Linked DNA regions of Oryzias latipes. The protein of the gene in region 2 interacts with the protein of the main gene of each other region in a pairwise test. Links are inferred from orthologs where the notes say so. Each region holds a gene or a part of one and is shown on either strand. Other genes may lie near its edges. The genes, in order: aig1 and rchy1.

Region 1 (10,681 bases), on a different chromosome or scaffold from region 2:
CAAACGGGTTTAGAAGATGGATGAATAAAAAGACAATGATACTTACATTAGCAAAAACAGAGCTATTAGCCTCTTTGTTGTGGATTCAATGAAAGTATCTTTGGTCAGTGGGGGCTTGCATATTTGATTGACCTCTACACATCAACAATCCGTTGCATTTTTTACTTCCTTCTTTTACTGAAGCCACTGATTGGTCAGTTTATAACTTGAATAAATTTGGATAGGCAAGAACATCGTAGTAGTAGGTTTAGGGGCTGTCATCTGGACTTAGTTTTTAAAGTTAGAAGACGTTTCACTTCTTATCCAAGAGGCTTTGTTAATTCTGACAATTAACGAAGCCTCTACCCTATTTCCGTGTTGTTCTCTAGATAATTTGTACCCCACCAGATGAGATCTTGCATGGAGCTTCAGGTGGAGAGAGATTGTTTTTTGTTTTTTTCCTTTTCTCATAATTCCTCCAACATTTTATCTCTGCTCACCAAGTTGTTGCTTCTTGTATATTACGGTAGTCCGTGCCAATCTTGATAGGTATATGCTCTTGTCCCCGGTTCCTTAGACAGCTCTTTGGTCTTGGTCACGGCAGGAGAGGTTGCAGTGTGACTCTTTGAAGGGCCTTTATCATGCTTTTCTTAAGCATTTCATAGTAAACTGAATAAACCCCTTTTGTAATTGAGGCCAACTTTATTAATTTCAATCATGTTTGAAAATCTTTGGTGTTGGACCGGACGGAAAAGGAAAGAAGGGAAGAAGAGAGGGGGATGTTAGAGAGAGGGGGGGGGGGAGGGGGTAGGAGGGTGATAATAGGAGGGGGGGATAAGACCATGAAGCAGCATAAAGCAACAAGTTTACTGGTTGTTTATCATTACGGTAAGGTTCAAATGTAGTATAAAAAGGGCGGGGCCTGTCCACACACACACTCAAATGTTATCAACACACCTGCTAGCTGCAAAAATGTCCACATGCTCCGCACTCCAGGCAGCCACCCACCCGGCCCACGGTTGGTCCAAGGAGGAGCAAGGCAGGGGCCAGCCGCCCCCGCCTAGGAGGGGAGCACCCCGGGGAAAAGGGGGGCCCACAAGGGGTGTTGTAAACATGGCCCGACCAGGCTCGGCCACAGTTGGAAATTTTGCGAGGCCCAGCGCTCAGGGGCAAGGACCAGAACCACCGGCTCAGGTGTAATGTGAACCCTCTCCCTGCGCGGAGAGAGCACTGCCGGGCCCAGGAGGGGACACGGCCGCCGTTGCCAAGGGCCCCGTACCCCCCACCAGGGAAGGGGTAGGGGACAGATGGTCCTAAGTCCCACCTTCCTTGCAAAATGTGTGTGCATGTGTGTGTGTTTGTGTTGGAATGTATATTTTGAGGGGGGACGGGTGTGTGTACTAAGGGGGGTGCAGTTAAAATTGGCGGGTAGGGCACTGAGGGGACATCTCCTGATTACTCACAGTGATGTCCACTCACCCTCCCCACCAAGGGGCCCTAAATGTCTAAGGTGCAGTTAAAATTGGCGGGTAGGGTGCTAGGACGACATCTGCTGCTTGCTGGCAGTGATGTCCAAGCACCCCCCCTACCAAGGGCCCTACATGTCTAAGGTGCAAATAAAACCGAAAGAGGGGGGGCCCACTCCATACGGCAACCATGGGAGGGGGACCACTGCCAAGTAGCCCCCCCCCCCCCCCCCCAAGGCGTATCGCAGGCTAAACCCCCCACCCCCTCACCCTAATATGTGGTTATATGAGGAAGGGGGCAAGTTGGGGACAGCTGGTAGACTGTCCCCCGGTGGTCAAACAGCTGTCCCCAAGGACTCCTCAATCTCTAAGGCTCCCCTTTCTGTCCTTGTGGGTGCCACCCAGTGCTAGAGTCGGCCTTGGCAACATGTCTGCGTTTTTGTCCATGAAAACCAACAACATCTGAACTTTTGCAAAGATGAATGTGCACATTGTGCATGTAGAAGGAACGTGTTTAGCTGATCACCACCAGCTCCATGGAGAAAGTGGGTGTGTCAGTTAGCCTGGGGGCGGTGCTGGCAGTGCAGACTCTTTCTGGAAGGTGCTGTTTTCTGACTGGTCAGCTCGTGAGAACTCATTTTCATGGACGGGGGGGCCTGGTGCTCAGAGAGCAGGTTTTTAGAGGAAAACTCAGAAATCCGTGAATGGATCAAAATACTACTTTGGGGTTGTTTTTAGTGAGGAATTAACATTACACTTAAAAGCTCAAAAAAAGATTTTGCATGGTATAGGCCCTTTAAGTGTAGACAGGGGCCATTTATAGAGATAACACGGGACAGATTGAATGGGTCTTTAAAGACCCATGCAAATGGAAATTGTGTTTCTGGTCATTTTAACAGGTTTTTGTGGCATTTTTCTCATAATGTATTTTTTATCCCACGAAGGGGGATAAAAAATTGCGGCTGGGTAGCTCGGTTGGTAAGGTGGGAAGCTACCATGCAGGAAACCAGGGTTTGATTCCCGGAGGGGAATGAGCAATGGTACTGGGGGCAAATACCATATCAATGGCGAGCAGTTAACATCACCCAGTGAGGGTCCTTAGGCAAGACCCTTAACGCTACTGCCTCCCGAGCGCGGTTTCGGCTGCAGCTCACCGCTCCCCAGGGGGATGGGTCAAATGCGGAGACAGAATTTCCCTTCGTGGGATAAAATACAGTGTATAAAAAAAATAAAAATAAAAAATAATGTAGGACACACATAAAGAAAATGTTGAGCTTGAAAACCTATTTCAGGATATTTCTTTGTTCAAATTGTTGACAATCAGGAGCAGACGAAAAAATGCCATTTCGAAAAGCTCGTAGCTGTGACGTAGTAGCTACAACCGCGAGTCACAAGCTCTCTGCCCTGCTCCATTCAGATGCATCCACTGTCAGACCAACTGATCCATGTACGTCTTCCATTTTGTTGTCTGAGCTGCATCTAGCTCAAAACTGGCTGGCTGGGTAGTTCCAATATTGCTCGCCATTTTTGTTGCACCACAAATTTTAGCCTAAGGAGTGTGAGGGACTGAAGTAGGGGCGGGCTTACTTTCTGCCTACAACTCTGATTTCTAATGAACTACTACCGCTCCGCAATAACTGATGAAAAGCAACAACAGTTTTTTCTAATTTAGGCTAAAAACGTCACAATCATAATTAAAAGACCTCTAGGAACAAATTTAAAATAGATCAAAAGATGATTGGCGTGGGACTTAAAAGAATAAGCAATAGGTCTGTGAGAAGCTTGTTGTCGGTTCTTGTTAGGTTTTAGGAGATAAATACCTATTTTCTGCACTATTATAAGAATAAATTCTTTAAAAATCAAAGAATGTGATTTCCTGGATTCTTTTAAAATTCTGTCTCTGACAGTGTATCTATGAGCATTGGATACTTTTCTAATCTTTAGACAGCATGCAGATTCAATATGAAAATATCATTAGAGAATCAAATATTTTTTCCCCATTGTATTTATGCGCTTACAACATGTATTTATGTTGATGCAGAGACTCCTGGAGAAAAAAACAGTTCTTTTTCTGTTTTAGTTTTTTGGATTATAAACATCTTGCACATTTGGCTTTGTTCTTGCAGTCCCGAGTGGGCGAAACTTGTCTTCCTTTGTTGCTTTCGGGGAGGCTTCACTCATCTTTAACCTTTTCTGTAAAAGACACAAAAGAAAAATGAAAAATAAGACACTGCAAAACGAGCAAAGTGTGATTGATATGTTCTTGTTTTACACTGTCCATAAAATCTAACAAGACAAAGATTTTAGGTTACTTGCAGACCTGTGTGTGTGTCTGAATGTCTTTGTACATGTGCGTGTTTATGCACGTGTATGTTCTTTGAACTTAAAGCTCAGCCAGTCTCTGCTGCTGTTGCCATATGCATGCCTTTTTGTGGCTGTTCCCAAATGTAGCTGTTGAGGATCTCCCCCAGGACGTAGAGAATGAAGATCAATAGTGTCATGGTCCCGAAGAAAGCAGCTCGAGCAATGGAGGAGACGCGCTCCAGAACTGGGTACACCCACACACCAGTCACATGGTGCACCCAGCAGGTCCTGAAAGCAGACATAGCTCTGTGTCAGTGTTTCATACAGACTTGTTAGTGGTGGTGGGGGTGGTTGCATGTTAAACTAAAATTATGAAATAGTCTGGATCACATCACAAACACAGCTCAGTGTTTGTGAACCTTGGTTCTCAGGTTCTCCTTGTTATGCAGCCCAAACACGTCAGGAACTGGTGGTGTAGAACCACCAAAAATGCAGGAGACCAGGTTTGGTGACAGAAACTAAAACATTTGATACATAAACTAAAACATGACAAAACCATGGGAGCATCAAAAAGGGTGACAAAGCAGACTAGAACAGAACAGATGACCTGACAAGTAAGAACTGAAAACCACTTGAACAGACTGAGGGCAATTAACTGAAATGAAGACAGCTGTGAATCGTGGCAAAGCTAAAACTGGTGTGACTGTGGGACAACTCAAAACAGATCATGACGAAAACCAAACAGAAATTCACAATCCTCACAATGGCTGCTTTAAGGTCTCTGCATTGGTGGATGATAGGCTACATAAAGTGTGTTTGAGAAGGAAGCATGGACAGTGGCCTTAAGACCAGGCTTTGGAAACACTGCATTAGATGCACCAGTTGGACATTTACATGTGAACTCAATTTCAGCATTTTTCACAACAGTGTGAGGAACAACAAAACAGTAAAGTGCAGCAGACTTCACTTCAGTAAATGTGATCATCCAGTCCTGGCTTCTGGGTGGAAATGTGGAAGAAACTCCTTACCAGCTGATGTAGGCCATGCTGAAGACACATACTGCCACCAGACCCCACAGCCTTCTGGGATACTTGTGGTGAGTCGTCCTCATCTCGATGATAACAAAAGGCAGAACGGTGGTATGCTGGGAGGAGAAGGGGAAATGGAGAAGGATTTTTCAGAAAACACAGTAGAAGTGGTTTCTGTTGGCAAACTTCACTACAAACAAAGACAAACAGTCAGCAAAGCAGATCCAAAAGGTGAGCATAAGCCGAGGAACACAGAACAAACAGGAAGCAGTCAGTAGAGGAAAGCCAGTGACTCAAAGACATCAGAGAGAAAATCAAACTTTGACTGGTAACAGGTGTGCCCCCCCCCTCCCCCCAAACTGGAGACCCTTTTCATCTAATTTAATGTGACAGGTGCCACACCCCTCCCTCCTGGTGCTCCACCTCTACCCCCCCATCGCCCCACTACTCCCACCCACGGCGCGGCAAAACTCACACTGAAGAGCTACTAGTTTTCCTTGCAGAAAGCTGAAAAATAAAATAAAAAATGAGACAAACCATGGATCTTTTTTTTCATCTTCTTAACCGTTTATTCCCTTTCAGGGTCACCGGGTTGCCGGAGTCTATCCCGGCCACTTGGGCGTAGGCAAGGGATGCCCTGGACTGGTCGCCAGTCTGTCGCAGGGTAGAATATCCTCAATCACACATCCATTCACTCTCACACTCACACCTATGGACAATTTAGAGTTGCCAATCAACCTTTGTAGCATGTTTTTGGACGGTGGGAGGAAGCCGGAGATCCCGGAGAAAACCCACTCATGCACGGGGAGAACATGCAAACTCCACACAGAAAGGTCCCCTGTTGATGTAGTTTTTTCATGTCCCCCAGCCGGGACTTGAACCGGAGGCCTTCTTGCTGTGAGGCAAGAGCGCTAACCACTGCGCCACCGTGCAAAAAAAACCATGGACCTGTCTCCGGTTAATCTGTTGTGGTTTTATGGCATTGTCTTGTTAAGGAACTACGAGGTAGCTTTTAGGGTGATGTCACAGCAGCACAGGGTGCATGCCTCATAACGAGACACCAAAAAGCATGTAAGAAACGTTTTCAGCCGTGTTAAAATAAACATTCTAACAAATAAACAGTTGGACTCCTTTTTCCTCTTCAAAAATATGACAATTGTTGCTTTACATTTGTCTGTGGCTTGGTTGCTACTTTCCTAATCTGTTTACATCATGTGACGACCGGCTACGGTGGCCGTTTGGGTCCAGTTGTTCCGCTCCAAGCACAGAGCTTATTTAGACGTTACATAATGAGTAACATCTATGCGCCGCATCACGTAACAAATAGTCCGCCTTTTGTGAGAAAAGCGATCCAAATCGGGGAAAAAACAAGAATAAAGGACTAAAAACTGGTTAATATGTATTACTTTTGTAAGTGACCATGGTATAAGTGGGTTAATGGCCTTCAAAGTGTGCATTATTACTTTTTAACGCACTTTGCGGAAGCAATAGGCTTCCACGGCGTGCGTTAGAAAGGGGTCTGGGGGTCCGGGGTGGTGTGGGGTGGGGGGCTTGTCGGCCCTGTCCTGTGGGGGGGCGTTCTGGGGGGGAGGGGGGGGGGCATTATTGGTACGGATCGGGGGGGCTAGCGGGTCGGGGTCTCCGCTGAGGCAATCAGTGGTTGCCTCGGCCGGTTGGCCTCCTCGGTCCCGCCAAGGCCTGACCAGAGCTCCTCTAGGGCCGGCGTCTGGGGGTGGGGGCCTGGGCTTGCTCCGGGGGGGGGGGGCGACGCTTTCTGGCTCCTCTCTCTCTGTGTGGGGTGGGTGGTGCCGGGCTTGGGGTGTCGGCGCCTCCGGGGGTGGGGCCCCTGGGCTGGGTGGCCCTGGCCCCTTTGCTGGGGGGGGGGGGGGGGGGGGCGGGGGCTGGGGGACAGCTGTTTGACCACCGGGGCACAGTCGACCAGCTGTCCCCAACTTACCCCCTTCCTCATATAACCTCATATTAGGGTGAGGGGGTGGGGGGTCTAGTCTGCGATGCGCCTTGGGGGGGGGGGGGGGGGGGGTTACTTGGCAGTGGCCCCCCTCCTATGGTTGCCGTATGGAGTGGGCCCCCCCTCTTTCGGTTTTATTTGCACCTTAGACATGTAGGGTCCTTGGTAGGGGGGGGTGCTTGGACATCACTGCAAGCAAGCAGCAGATGTCCTCCTGGCACCCTACCCACCAATTTTAACCGCACCTTAGACATTTAGGGCCCCTTGGTGGGGAGGGTGGGGGGACATCACTGTGAGTAATCAGGAGATGTCCCCTTAGTGCCCTACTCGCCAATTTTAACTGCACCCCCCTTAGTACACACACCCCTCCCCCTTCAATATATACATTCCAACATAATCACACACACATGCACACACACACCCTCTCAAACACACATACACGCACACACATTTTGCAAGGAAGAGGGGGACCTGGGTCCATCTGTCCCCTAACCCTTCCCTGGTGGGGGGTGCGGGCCCCTTGGCGATGGCGGCCGTGTCCCTTGGGTGCCGGCTCCCTGGGCCCGGCGGTGCTCTCTCCGCACGGTGGGGGGGTTCATATTACACCTGAACCGGGGGTGTTCGTGTCCCTGGGTCCTGGTCCTTGCCCCTGAGCGCTGGGCCCCGCCAAACTTCCAACATGGCCGAGCCTGGTCGGGCCATATTTATAACACCCCTTGTGGGCCACACTTTTTTCCCCGGGGTTCCCCCCTCCTGGGCGGGGGCGGCGGGCCCCTGCCTTGCTCCTCCCTGGACCAACCGTGGGCCGGGTGGGTGGCTGCCTGGAGTGCGGAGCGGGTCTCCCTTGGGGGGTCCTGGCTCGTACCTGGGGTTGGGGCGGGGGGATGCCCGGAACTCCTGGGTGGTGGTGGGGTGCTCGTCTGGGGCTGTGGGCGTCCTTCTCCGGTGGGGCCCTGCGTTGGGCTCTTCCGGCGCGGCGGGGGGGGGCTGCTTTCCTGGCTGGGCTGGGGCGGCGCTCTCTTTCCCTCCGCGCCTCCCTGCTCTCTGGCTCTGGGGGCCACGCGGCGGTCCTGCTGGCCCTGGCCTGGGTGGCGGTCTTGGTCGCCCAGGGGGCGGTTGTTCCCTGCCTGTTCCCGTGTGGCGTTGGGGGAATTCCGGCTGCCGCTGCCGCTGCTGCTGCGGCGGGGGTCTGGGTGTGGGGGTGGCTGGGCGCTCCTCCTCCTTCTTTTCACATTCCACCATCCATTTTAGAAGAACATAAACACTCACCTGAGCACAGGTGTTAGCTCACCTTTGCACTAATAGTTTGCATGATTGAATGAATGAAAGATTTCACACTAGTTGGTTTTAAGGCATAAGTATGCGTGTGTGAACACTATCTGTTTTGTGTTCATGTTGACATGTGAACATTTCTTGCAGCTAGCAGGTGTGTTGATAATATTTGAGTGTGTGTGAACAGGCCCCGCCCTTTTTGTACTACATTGGAACTGTACCGTAACGATAAACAACCAGTAAACCTGTCTGCTCTATGCTGCTTCATGGTCTTACCCCCCCCTCTCACTATCACCCCCCCCTCTGACATCCCTCCCTCTTCTTCCCTTCTTTCCTTTTCCGTCCGGTCCAACACCAAAGATTTTCAATCATGGTTGAAATGAATAAAGTTTGGCCTCAATTACAAAAGGGGTTTGTTCAGTCACACCTTTGGTTTGTCAGAAGATTAATAACCCCTCTTGTTAAAGTAAAATATGTCCAACACAAGAGGCCCTCAGCTCTCATCTGTCTGCCTAGCTGTTGGACAGGACAAGTTAAAAAAAAAAAAAAAAAAAAAAAAAGAAAGTAATAACCCACACTTCGTCGGCCATTAACCCTTACATATCTTATCAATTAGAGTAGTACTTTGAGTAGTGATTCTGCTGGGTCTTGTTATGGTTGGATAGAAACTCATTCCATACATTCTGCTGATAAAGTCGTCGGTGGCTTTATGTTTGCTGGGGTTTATCAGATCCATATTGAAATCTCCACAGATGTATAATATTTTGTTATTTAGAGAGCTAAACATCTTTTCCATCCAGTCACTGAACACTTCTAAGCTTGACCCTGGCGACCTAGAAACACAGCTTATGATGACATTTTTCCCTGATTGGTTTAATATTTGAATTGTAAGGCATTCCAGTATTCCAACTACTTCAACTGACAATTTATCAATTTCTGTAAACTTTGTATTTTTTTAACATAAATTGCGACTCCTCCACCTTTTTTGTTTACTTTGTTCACATAGTTAAGGTTATAGTTTCCGGTAATACTTCATATTAAGATTCCTTAACAAGCTTTGTTAAAAAAAAACAAAAAAAACAAGCTTTGTTAACACATTAAAAAGCATTATAATAGAATTTTTAGGCTGTTAGTAAGACATTTATTAGCAATAAGTCTAATAAGGTTAATTAAATTCTTCTTTCTCTTTCGGCTTTTCCCAACAGGGGTCGCCACAGCGAACTAGTCGCATGGTAAACTTGGCAATGTTTTACGCCGGATGCCCTTCCTGACGCAACCTTCTCAAAGCAAACAGGCTTGGGACCGGCACAGAAGTAGAGAAGGGAACAGGGAGCAGCCCGGATTTGAACCCTGGTTTCACGGACGGAAGGCGCCGCAAACCAGCACGAGCTAAACCGGCTCAATAAGGTTAATTAAATTACTTAGTTAAAACATTTACAAGCATTATTTTTAGGATGATTTTAAGATGCTAATGATACATTTCTTGACATTATAGGTGCCTAACAAATGTGTAAGTGTTAATAAACTTAATAACATTTATTAACAACCTTTGTTAATAAATTAAGAAGTATTATTATTGTTTGGGGTTCTAGTATGACATTTATTAGCATTATAAATGTCTCACGCAAGCCTAAGTGTTAATAGGCTTCATAAGTTTTATTAACTAACTTAACAAATAATAGGCTTTATTAATGTGTGAGATGCTACTAAGATATTTATAAGCATTATAGATGTCTTGCAAATACCTGAAAGTGTTAATAAGATTTACTAACATCTAAAGTCAGACCATTGTCTTCAAAATCCATATTACTAAACTGGTTATAAGCTTAATAAATGTATTAATTAACTTTGTTAACAGTTTATACATTTTTTTGCAGTACCTCATCTAAAGTGAGGAATGCTTTGACCACAAACAACCACAAAGCATAAAGCTTGTAAAAAGAACTTTATAACATTAAAACAGACTAAGCGGACGTGATTCCTGTGTAATTTGCTGGCGTGTACGGGCGTCCGTGGTGCAGCGGTAGGGCGGTCGACCCATGATCATAAGATTGCAGGTTCGATTCCCGCCCATGTGTCGAAGTGTCCTTGGGCAAGACACTGAACCCCACCTTGCCTCTGGTGGGAGGTTGGCACAAGTGGAGCGGAGCCGCCGCCAGTGTCTGAATGTGTGTGTGCATGGGTGAATGGGACTGTGACTGTAAAGCGCTTTGGGCCTTCGTAAGAAGGTAGAAAGCGCTATATAAGTATACGCCATTTACCATTTACCATTTGCTGCTCCCAACAAAATAGCAAATAGACTCCTCAAAATTATCATTATTAACAAACAGAGCGAAATGATCAATGAAAGGAGAAGTATAAACCAGAGGAAAAATGAAAAAACAAGATGAGATGAAAGGACGAAATGTGGATAAAACCAAAGAAGACGGAGACGAACTCTCTGGAGCTAACCAGCTAGCTGAAACCATGCGCTGTGGACTCGACTCCATTAGCAAGGAAATCCACGACCTAAGAGCTGACATGAAAAAGGACATGAACTCCTTGAAGGAGCAAATTACAGAAGATGTCAAGATGGAAATCAAGGAATTAAAACAAGAAATATACCAACAACTAGCAACAAACAATAAAACTCTCCAAACGCACAGAGCCCAGATTGCCGAGGC
Region 2 (11,237 bases):
TGCAGCTGAATCGCGGTACGTCATTCTTATCAAAATGTCTTTAATAAAATAAAATAAACGCAAAGAAAAGGTATTTTACGATCTTTTATATTCCTAACTCCTCAGTGTTTTATCAGGGCCTGTTTGGATGAACAGAGAGCTAAAATCCTGGAGATGGGAAATGTTTTTAGATCAGTTAATGAGGGCAATTTCCCACGGCACACTTGACCATCTCCCACGGCACACTAGTGTGCCGCGGCACACTGGTTGAAAAGTAGTGTGTGAAAAGTGTAGTACTAATAAGAACTACCTGTGAGACCAGAGCTGACTCCACCACAGTACACAGTACAGTTACTCGGGCTGGACTGACTCATCACTTCCTCAAAGGACAGGTGCTTGGAATTACCTGGAGAGGTGAAACCAGACATTACATTCTATTCAACGTTTAGCAATCTGCACAATCCACCGAGCACACACTTTCATAGGTGGTCTTTGGGGCAGGGGGCTTTCTTGTGGCCCAGTTAGTTCGAATCTGTCTGCCACCTAACCACTGGCCTCCCATGTGCTGAATGGCGTTCTCTGCATCCTGGAACAACAAGGTCAGCCGGGTCACAACTCAAGTGGACTTAAGGACAGAATTTAAAAATAAAAATAAAAAAGGCAGAACACAAACAAAATCTAGAAACCATGATTCTTTTCATAAACACTATTTAAAGTCCCACTCCGACCATCTTTTGATCTATTGTCAAAGCGTTTTCAGTCATCTTTGAATCATGATTATGTCATTTTTAGCCTAAATCAAAAATCTGTGCCATTATTTAGGAGATAGTTACAGAGCAGCAGTCATTCTTTAACATTTTATCTCAGAGGTATGGGTGGGATCACTGGCACAGAGTAAGCCCGTCTCCACTTCCCTTCACCCATCAGTCTACACGCTCTCCTGCTAGCTTACAGCCCCTCACACCCCCAACCTAACATTAGCTGTGTAACAAAAATGGTGAGCAATATTTGAGCTATCCAGCCGGACACTTTGATCCAGATGTCAGCTCAGACTAGGAAAACAAAGACGTTCATGGGTCTATTTGTCTACAGGTGGAAGGATCAGAATGAATCAGAGCAGGGAGCTTGTGTCCAGCTGATTGTAGCTTCGATATCACAGCTTCAAGCCTTTTAAAAATGGCATTTTGTCTGCTCCTAAATTATTTGAATAAAAACTTTCTTTAGATCTCCTCCATCATCAGCAAAATTCCACAAGAACATGTTAAAAACACCATTTGGATCAGAGTGCGTGTTTAACTGGTTTCAAAATCCCAAAAAATAACACCAAACGCCAGATATTTCCTACTAACCCATTTGTTGAAGAAAGACACAAAGCCATAGCCTTTGGATTTGCCTGTAGCCATATCTTTAACAACACGAGCATCTCTGTGGAGAAAAGCATCAGAATTAGAAACACCCAGAAGAACGCAAAGAGTACATGCTAGAATTAAATAGAGACAAAGAGTTCCTGTGCAAACTAACATGCATAGCCTGTTTTATACCCAACCTACTTCTTTTTGTTTTATGAAAATTTTGTTAGCCAATTTTCAATTGCCTTGGAAACAAACCTTAGGCATGGTGTGAGACAGCTGTAAGTCACCATGAACCGTAACTGTTTAATGTCTTTAATAAAATGTATATCTCTTATGTTTTTGCTTGCATTTTCCACTGACAACCCTTTCTTTTTACAGGGTCGGTTTTTTTTGTTTCTATTTTTTTTTTCAGTGGATAAAAGGAAACAAGCATTTTCCATTCAGGAAAGATCTACCTCAATGAGCAGAGCAAACATTTAAATACTTAAGTTAATAGTTCTACTGTCAAAAACTGACTTGACATAATTGCAAAGTACTTGTATTTGTTAAAGATCAAGAGAACACAGTAAAGAATGAAAAGCACACTTTCAGGCTAGCCTTCAGAAAATAACATTTGCTTTGTATTAAATGTTGGCTAACTATTTTCTGTGCTTTACAAAGAGCACAGACTGTTCAGTCTTGTCACTTACGATATCCTTCCAAATGGGGCAAAGGCAGCTTTAACATCTTCTGTGGTGATTTCTGGACTAAGGTCTCCAACGAAAACATGAAAATGATCTATTGAGGGGGAAAAAAAAAACAATTAATCTGCTATTAAACTTAGTTTCCACGGTTTGAATGATCTCTTTTAAGTAAAGACAATGTGCTGTAGAATTCACTTCCTGCATTGGTGAAGGAATACTTGTTAAACTTACTACTCGTGTCTTTTTTCTGGCTGGTTGGTGTTGTGGCCCAGTTAACTTTGACCTCCTGCAGACAATGGCAGAAGAAAAAACAGACCAGGTGGGGGGTATGTTTACATCATTAAAAAACCTCAACTATTAACATGTTTTTAAACTAAAGTATTTGAACTGGGCTGCCCACCCAAATTAATAAATTAAACGTTTGTAATAATGCAGTCCACCGACATTGTAATCAAGGAACATTATCTAGTTCATGTAAATTTATCTGGTTTTTAATTATTATAAAATCCTATTTTTATCCCATGCAGAAGAATTGCAGATATGCTTATTTAATCTTGTTGGGTTTTTTTTTACATTCAGGCTAAAAACAGACAAACAGAAGAACCTAAATAACAGACACCTTAAAGGACTTAAAAATATATTCTATCTTACGGTACTTTGTTCTTTACAATTCCTGTGATTTTTAACCAGTTAAGTCAACAGAATACTCAAGTAAGCAGACAAATTGATTCAATGAAGTTCATTGTGTCTATAAGTTCTATTAAGCACTTAAATTATTTTTTTATCAGACACTGGGTTTGTTTTGTGTAAAACCTACCGACATGGGACGACCCTGACGAAGGTGGAAGGCATTCCGCCGAAACATGTCGGTAGGTTTTACACAAAACAAACCCAGTGTCTGATAAAAAAAATAATTTAAGTGCTTAAGCAGACAAATTCATGTATTTTTTAAATCAAAAGATTCATTTCCCATCCCCACTCACCCTGTAGATACGATAGCTTACCTTACCCATTATTTTCCTTCCATTCATGGCTGCCAGTGAAGCAGCAGCATGCCTGTGGTCATAGAACTCCACAAAACAGTATGGATCATTTCCTGCCGTCTGTTAACAGGAAACCAACACATCTCAGGTCAACACTTCAATCCCTACCGATGAGAAGACCTAAGCACTAATGCCCGGTGTGTCAGATTAAAATGACAAGAATATTTCAGGTAATGTTCACATAAATGTTCCTGTGTGTCTCCAGATCAGGACATTTGCAGTTGAAAAACCAACACTTACATCAACAATCATTTTACAGCTCTTGCAGGGTCCTATCTGTGTAAAGACCTGCAGAATGAGAGGCTCTGTGACATCCCTGGACAGATTCCCCACGTATCTACGAGGAACGAGAGAAATAAGCGACTTCAAACAGGAAGTGGCATACAAACAAAGGGTTCTATGCCGGGCTAGCAACAACCACACTAACTATCAAATACGGGTAATATAATTGGGGGGAATAATATGGCGAAGGAGGCCCATACATTACAGAATAGGGTGCACAAGACAAGACTGTACACAAGCAAGTTATGTGCGCCCCCCTTCTCAGCGGGGGTGTCCCGTGTAGATCGAGTCCGTTGACGTGGCTCACTTTTAAAGCTAGCTAAAAAACGTCGCTAACCGGTTTGAAGGGCCTCGACTCGAGCTCGCTTTAGCAGCAAAGCCGTGCTTTGTGAAACAAGACCCATTCGTCACAATGTAAATAACGAATACCACATTTAATTGCTATAGCGAGCATAATTGTTATTACAAAAAGATGAAGAAAATATGTGCAATGGTTTACATATTCAGCTAATGATAACCGGGGACTAGCTAGCTAAATATATTTCCATGCGAGTTACAGTTCCGCATTTTCAAATCTAAGTTTTTGTTAGTAGGACAAGAATATTTGTTCAATGTAATCACAATTACCTGGACTAACAGAAAAACTACCGACTGTTTTTTAAAGACATTATTACTCATTGTGTGGCAGAGTTTTAATTTAAATAATGTGGAAACGTCTGAGAAGCACGGTGAATAGACGAAGCCATTACATTCCTGGACATAGACACAGCCGCTTCACTCACAAGGTTCTAGGTTGATCGTCTTCCATCGTCAAGGTGTAGTGGTCGCGTCCGGAGAGGCTTTTAGTCCAATAACATACGAATAATTTATGTTAAACGTAAGTTAACCTAAACATAAAAAATAAATATGTACAATTTAATGATTAGTCTGTGGGCGATTTTGGTTCCACACACACCACAGAGAGCCTCAGTCTGAAGCAAACAATAGGAAGTTGAAGATGGCGGAGGAATGGCGTCAGAAGCGTCAACCTCGCTGCGCGCTAAAATGCTGCCAACATCAAGAACATTCTCTCACACCAGAAAAATGACCATAAGAATTGGTAGACTTCAACAAACCACATCTTTTTTGTGTAGACCGATAAATATTTAACTAATCGTTTAATTTAAATCAGAAAAACTGGAAATTTTAAGAGAATGTACTGCAACACAGTTATGGAGTTATTGCACCATTTTTTTTTCTTTTTTTTTTTTACGTTTTTCTACAGTTTGCGAAACGAACTAACTAAACCAACTAAACGAAAAGCAAGCCAAAATAAACAAAACGGCAGTGCGCCGCCCGGGAATCGAACCCGGGTCGCAAGAATGGGAATCTTGCATGATACCACTACACCAGCGGCGCTACGTGTGATTACCGGACGTACTGATAAAGATATACCTAGGCAAAAATGAGGTGGAAGAAAAGTCTTTGATGGGAAATATTGGAAACAAAAAATTACTTTTCTACTCGTGAACTCACAGGAATAATTGCTGACTTTTTCATACATATTCTAAGTATATGCTTCCCCATGTAGAATATATCAAACAACTTGGGTGTAAACGAGGTTTGTGGGATTTTCTAGAAGCAAAGTATTCTTGTTGTAATAAATATCAGGTTAGAATTTAATTTAAAACAAAAAATTGAGGTACAATTAAGGAGAAATCTAAAGGCGTGTTTGCTTTCACCTTCATTTTCCCCTTAACACTGACTTATTCATTTCAGTCTTTTGATAACATCATTGTTTCTGCTTTTACAGCAATATAAACATCAAAACATTGTTTTAATTAAATCTCTTGAACTACTGAAAATACTTTCTTGCCAGCCCTTTTGACACCACATCTTGGGACTTCAGTGGTTGTCTCTGCAAGTTCTGCAACCACTTGAGGGTTTCATCACTGATGCCCTAACTTTACAGAAATAAAGCAATAATATAGGGAGATTACCACATTGTACACATTTTCTTTTTTTAAAAAGTATGACTTAGAAAAAACTCTACCTAAATATTAATACATCTTTCATTGTAATAAAATTGAAAAAATTCTGTTTATTTAATTATCACAATGTTTAGTATAACTGTATCTCGTATAAGTTGCTTTTACCCAAGCAAATTTACAGTGCTTTTATTTTGGTAACATAAAATATATATAGGGAACAGTCAACATTGTCTGAGTTTTCCACAACAAAAAATTGTTCAGTACAAGAAAAAAAAATAGAATAAATGTCCCTTAACCAATACGGTTCTAAAAATATGTTTGAAGAAATAAAAGTCTGCTTATTTTCACATTTAAGAGGCCTTCTAAAAGTACACAAAAGATGCTGCACTAACAGCCAAAACAATGAAAAACGTCAGTCTTACAAACTCTTGATTAGTTTGCAGAACCATCAATACTTAAACCACTTCATTCTTTTTTATTCATCATTGCCAATTTCTGTTGTGTTTTAATAAATTTTACACACGATACAAAGACGTTTTAGTTGGACAGACTTTTTCTTTTTAGTTCTAGATCAAATTTAGTAGGAAAGCTTCTTTATTTCCCTTGAATATAAATAATACATTCAAGGGAAATATATTTTAAAATATAAATTATCTTGAGGAGGACATATACAGCATACAGTTATCTATTGACAGACGCTACGGTAATAAACTCACATCCCAGACCAGAAGGTGGCGGTAATGCGCCGTTCTGTTGTTTGCCACCCGCTGTATATATATTTAAAAAAAACTTTTAAAAAAACGTCCAACGAAGAAGAAGAAGCGAGCAACCTTCTCGCCTTCGTGGCAACGGACACTTCGAGAAGCTTGGGTTTGGAGACAGCATGGCTTCACCTGTCGGTTGTGAACATTACGTACGCGGTTGTTTGTTAAAAGTGAGTACCCGTTGTAGCCTCAGCGGAAGCAAAGCTGTATGCTAGCGTAAAATGAAACAAAGGACGGACAGGCCAGGGGGCTAACTCAACAACAACTGTAGTGGCAGACCCAGTCACCGTTTGTCCGGAGCGTTATGACAGTTTTGACAGATGGAGCTCATGTCCACTTTAAGATATTGGCAGGACGTCGAAGTTAATGGGTTCCATGTGTTTTGTTTAAAGGATATACACTTCATATTAAGTTTATGATTTTGCGACTACTGCTCTGCTGCTGCTTGTGTTCCTCAGCCGCACATTGCCACATCGTTATATAATTGTTAACCGACATTTCTTTAACGTTTCCTGAGATGCCTACCAGTTAAACCCCATCCAGATGTTGATGTTCCCCTAACGTTTGCGTGTTTTTGTGAACTCCAGGCGCCGTGCTGTGGGAAACTGTACGTGTGTCGTCTGTGCCATGATGCTCAGGAGAACCACCCGATGGATCGCTTCAAAGTCAGAGAGGTGCAGTGCTCCAAGTGTAACACCTTGCAGCAGGTAAGTTGCATAAATAAAATAAACCACCAGCTGTAGTTGATGACTTTTTATTTTTATGCACGTTACCCTAAATGTGTCCTGTTTGTGCATGCTTCTCTAGGCCCAAAAAACATGTCAGCAGTGTCAGTTACAGTTTGGGGAATATTACTGTGACATCTGCCATTTGTTTGACAAGGATAAGAAGCAGTACCACTGCCAGCCCTGTGGAATATGCAGGTAAATGTGTCATTAACGGCAAACACTCATCAACGGTTTACTAAATGGCGTATACTTATATGGCGCTTTTCTACCTTCTTCAGGGCCGTAGCGCTTTAGTCACAATCCCATTCACCCATGCACACATTCATTCACACACTGGTGGTCTCAGGAGAAAGTTAGGATTTTGTCTAATAATTAGAGGTGTAGCGACTGATCGACTTAATCAGTGAATCAATTTATATTCCTAATATCCAACAAGATCGATCTGTCTGAGGCAACAAATCGACTTAAACCACTATGAAACTGTTGAAAAATGAAACATACCCATAATATCTATTGAAAAAAATCTCTGTCTTTCTCTGTATCTGAAGATATTTGCATGCTTTGGATTTATCGATCGATGTTGTTCTGGCTGTTTTCAGAAACACTTTATTTTTAAAAATCTATACTTGATCCTAATTCTTTTGCTGTATGTTAAAAAGCTCAAGTACAATGGGATTGTCTGGTAAAAGAAAAGTTGTGCATTTCTAATGAAGAAACAAACAGGAAATCTAAACAGTTGCAGGGGAAACGTGAGTTATCGGTATCGGCTGGAAAAAATTATAACCGCCCATCCCTAGAAGAGACACCACAGAAGAGGCTGATTGACAAAACCAACAAGTCACAGTGAAAAAGAATCAATAAAACAGCGAGACAGCGAAATATAGCGAAGGAACACCACCGGTAGTGATAATATTCTCCTAAAGTTTGGTACATCAGAGGAGGAACGATGCAGGCAGCGCCATGAACAGGCAAAGCCCACGCCATGTAAAATTAGGGTCAGCAGCGAAAAGTCTGGATTGAAAATTTTAACTGAGGTCTAAAAGCAAAGAGGGGAAGAACCAAAAAAAAAAACAGACGTTGAAAAGAAAAAAAGGCTGCTGTTAGAAATAAACATAATTTTCAGGTTTAAAGTTGTTTTTTAAAAGTCAAATTTACTTTTTTGACAAATTTTCAATAATTCTTTCAACTTTGTTTTGGTCAAAGTCATAATTTCTTTGTTTGTTTTTTTTCAAATTTTTAATAATTCCTTGAAGTATACAAAATGTACTTTCAAGTCTTAATACAGTTTTCAAGTTTTCCTTCTCTTCAAATTTACAAAATGGGTTTTCATTCAGTTTATGCTGTTCCCAATTTCCCTCCATAAAAAATGTCCTGGATGGAGTTTTAGGTCAGTGAATCAGTTCGTTCAAAATGAAACGATATCACCTATGAATCATATCAGCAACCACAAATTCTGATATGAATCAAATTGTTAAAATTAATCTTTAAACCCCTAATAATAGTTCATTTTTTCTTTTTTATCCAGTTACCCACTAACAGATGAGTAAACTATGTGTGTTCTGGTATTGGCAGGATTGGACCCAGTGAGAAGTACTTCCATTGTGACAAGTGCAATTTGTGTCTGGCCCAGGATCTGAGAGGAAACCACAGAGTGATTATGATTATTCACCTCCTTCTGATTCACTCTAATGGAAGAAGTTCTCACTTTGTTTTACTGACTTTGGTTTTTTTTGATTACTTTCAGTGTGTCGAAAATGTCTCTAGGCAGAACTGTCCGGTTTGTATGGAGGTATGAAACCTTAAAGTACATGTAAAACTAATATTGGATTTTCGTCTTTATTTGAGCCCAACTGTTTTTTTTTTGTTTGTTTTCTCTTTGTCAAAAGGATATTCACACGTCCAGGATCGGTGCTCATGTCCTTCCATGTGGCCATCTTTTACACAAGTGAGGCGACTTTTCTTTTCTGTTGGCTTAGGTTTATGTGTGTTAACTGCAAATAACAGTTTACAGACGAGCTGCAATGATTTCAAGCTATTTTATAAATACTTTAAACAGATTTCCTTTTAGAAGCACACAAATTAACACCACCAATGAGTTGAAGTGTCTAAAAAACTTGTCAACTCTTTTGAAAAGTAATAAATCCAGAAAATATAAATTTATTTTTTATCGAAAATGTGCTTTTTACTTTGAGATGACTGTAAACAGCAAAAAAACTTTGCTGTATTTGTGCTACTGACATATATTAGAAACTTTTTTTTTGCATTTTAAATGTGTTTATCACTTGACGAATGTGAGTAGTAAACAGATGTAAGAAAAAGTACCCGAAGCTTTTGGATATTATGGGTTTGTGCAAGAATCAGACAGACGGTTTGTTCTTGTCTTCACCTCCAACAATAGAAACAGAACAGTCTCTCTAAACTAAACACAGACAGGTGCTTTTATTGAACAAAAAAATATATATTCACAATAGTCTGTGAGAAAAGTATGTGAACCCATAATTACTTCTCCAAGAACTAATCAGACCAGGAGATGGGAAACCTGGAGTCCACTCAATGGGATGAGGTTAGATTTGGTTAAGGTCATGGCTCCCAAAAGAGGTTTAAAAGCATTTGCTTAACAAGCTATTTGTTCTGTGAATGTTTACATATTGTGTTTGATAAAAGCAGAAAAGACTAAATGCCTGTGTGGTATTAGTTTGGGCAGATTGTAATTTTCTGTTCTAATCATTTGTTTGTCTTTTCAAGTTAGATAAAACTGCAGGAAAGCCCAAAGGGTTCATATACTTTGATTTTCTTACAACATTACTTCCTGAGCTCTAAACTACAGCCTGTGTCATCAAGACTGGTGTCTTCAGATTAAAAACATCTGTGGTTAAGTCAAGCGGTTCCATCTTGACCTCTTGTCTTTGGTTTTCTTGACAGGACTTGCTTCGATGACATGGTCAAAACAGGGTGAGTGTAATAAACTTTTATCTGCTGGAATTTGTTTTGGTTTTTTTTTCATGTTTAAATCCAGTTTTCTTTCTGAATCTGGTTTCTTATTGGAAAATGGTAAAAAATAAATAAATGACATAGTGGTGAACAGTAGGGGTGCAACAGATCCCAAAATGCCCGGTTCGGATAATGTCACAGTTTTAGAGTCACACTTCGGATCATTTTTTGGATCAGTAAGATGGAAAAAAACAAAATAAAAGTTTACAATTATTATTTCTTTAAATGTATTATAGCATTAAAATATTTGATCATTGAGGCATTATTAAAAAACAAAAAACATTAATGAGATATTTGAACTCAAGACAGGGCTCCAGACTAACTTTTTTCACTAGGAGCACAGTGGCCCCCAACTGAAAATTTTAGGGGCACAACCAGAAAATTTAGGGGCGCATAACGTAAATCAACATTCTAACCAAATCTACTAATTTCCACTGTATTACTAATAAATACTTTTATAATAGATGCAGAAATTAAAATGTGCTGTTTTAAATTCAGTGTCACATTTTATTCTGCACTTTTGAAGATGCAACAACAAGGTAAACTGACAGCACCATCGCTGTCATGACAGTACAAATAGTTAAGAAAACAGATGGAAATTTATCTTGGTGACACCAAATAGGTGCAGCCAAGATGCACAATAAGCGTGTTTGAGATCACCCAGGTGAACTCAACGCTGCGCAGATCACCTGGGGCCTGTTTCACAAAGGAGGTTCAACCAACTCTGAGGTCAAACCTGAACTCTGAGTTGGTCAATCGAGAGATTGACAACTCTGAGTTTTCAGTTTCAGAGCAGCTGATCCGCGTTAGATCAATCAACTCTGAGTGGACTGATTCGGAGGTGAGCGTGCGCACCGCGTCTATAAGAAGCCATTATCAATGGAGCGCAGATATCACGAGTCACCATGGCAACCGTGAAAACAAAGAGGTCTGCGTATTTTTCGCCAGCTGAACTTGACGTGCTGCTGCAGAGTTGCAGTGAATATGAGAACATATTCCAGAAGAAAAGCAACACCGCTGCATCTGCAAAACAGAGACAGTTAGCGTGGGAAAACATAGCTGCTCAAGTTAATGCCTAAGTTTGCATTTAAATCATTGTTATAAATATTGACTGTAATAACTTTTTAAATAGCGTAAGGTGTGAAATAAAAAATGGTGATATTTAGGAGTACTTTTGAAGTGTTATTCCTGGTGTAAATGCATGAAATGCTGCATAGTGTACAGAACCAATCTGGGGGAAAATGCATTTAACGTCGGTAATGTTTAGAGGACTTTTTTGTTAACCTTCCCCTCTAGCAAACGTTGGTCATTTTAATATTAATACATGCAATTGTGTTTTTAAAAGTGAACTTTTGTCTACTGTTGAACCTTTCGCTGCGCAAAGACTTCCTTCTTTTCTCTCGTCTTTCCGACCGTGGTCAAAAGCGCAGGGGAGATTTCCTTCA

What was found.
Region 1: the proteins of rchy1 (region 2) and aig1 interact in binary tests that used the Homo sapiens proteins (3 or more experiments, as listed by UniProt). The link is inferred for Oryzias latipes from reciprocal best matches to the Homo sapiens genes RCHY1 and AIG1.

What each region holds. Positions count from the first base shown.
Region 1 is NC_019882.2:23,471,595-23,482,275, forward strand, and holds the end of aig1 (androgen-induced gene 1 protein), read right to left. Parts: intron 4,894-10,681; coding exon 4,778-4,893; intron 4,038-4,777; coding exon 3,871-4,037; intron 3,639-3,870; coding exon 3,619-3,638; 3' UTR 3,433-3,618; downstream 1-3,432. UniProt on the Homo sapiens protein: Hydrolyzes bioactive fatty-acid esters of hydroxy-fatty acids (FAHFAs), but not other major classes of lipids. Show a preference for FAHFAs with branching distal from the carboxylate head group of the lipids.
Region 2 is NC_019867.2:25,248,137-25,259,373, forward strand, and holds the start of rchy1 (RING finger and CHY zinc finger domain-containing protein 1), read left to right. Parts: upstream 1-6,098; 5' UTR 6,099-6,192; coding exon 6,193-6,243; intron 6,244-6,660; coding exon 6,661-6,780; intron 6,781-6,880; coding exon 6,881-6,996; intron 6,997-8,373; coding exon 8,374-8,452; intron 8,453-8,545; coding exon 8,546-8,590; intron 8,591-8,687; coding exon 8,688-8,746; intron 8,747-9,723; coding exon 9,724-9,753; intron 9,754-11,237. Other genes in the region: nucleolysin TIA-1, read right to left, coding at 290-385, 457-565, 1,329-1,404, 2,021-2,108, 2,246-2,300, 3,019-3,117, 3,298-3,394, 4,122-4,147. UniProt on the Homo sapiens protein: E3 ubiquitin-protein ligase that mediates ubiquitination of target proteins, including p53/TP53, TP73, HDAC1 and CDKN1B. Mediates ubiquitination and degradation of p53/TP53; preferentially acts on tetrameric p53/TP53.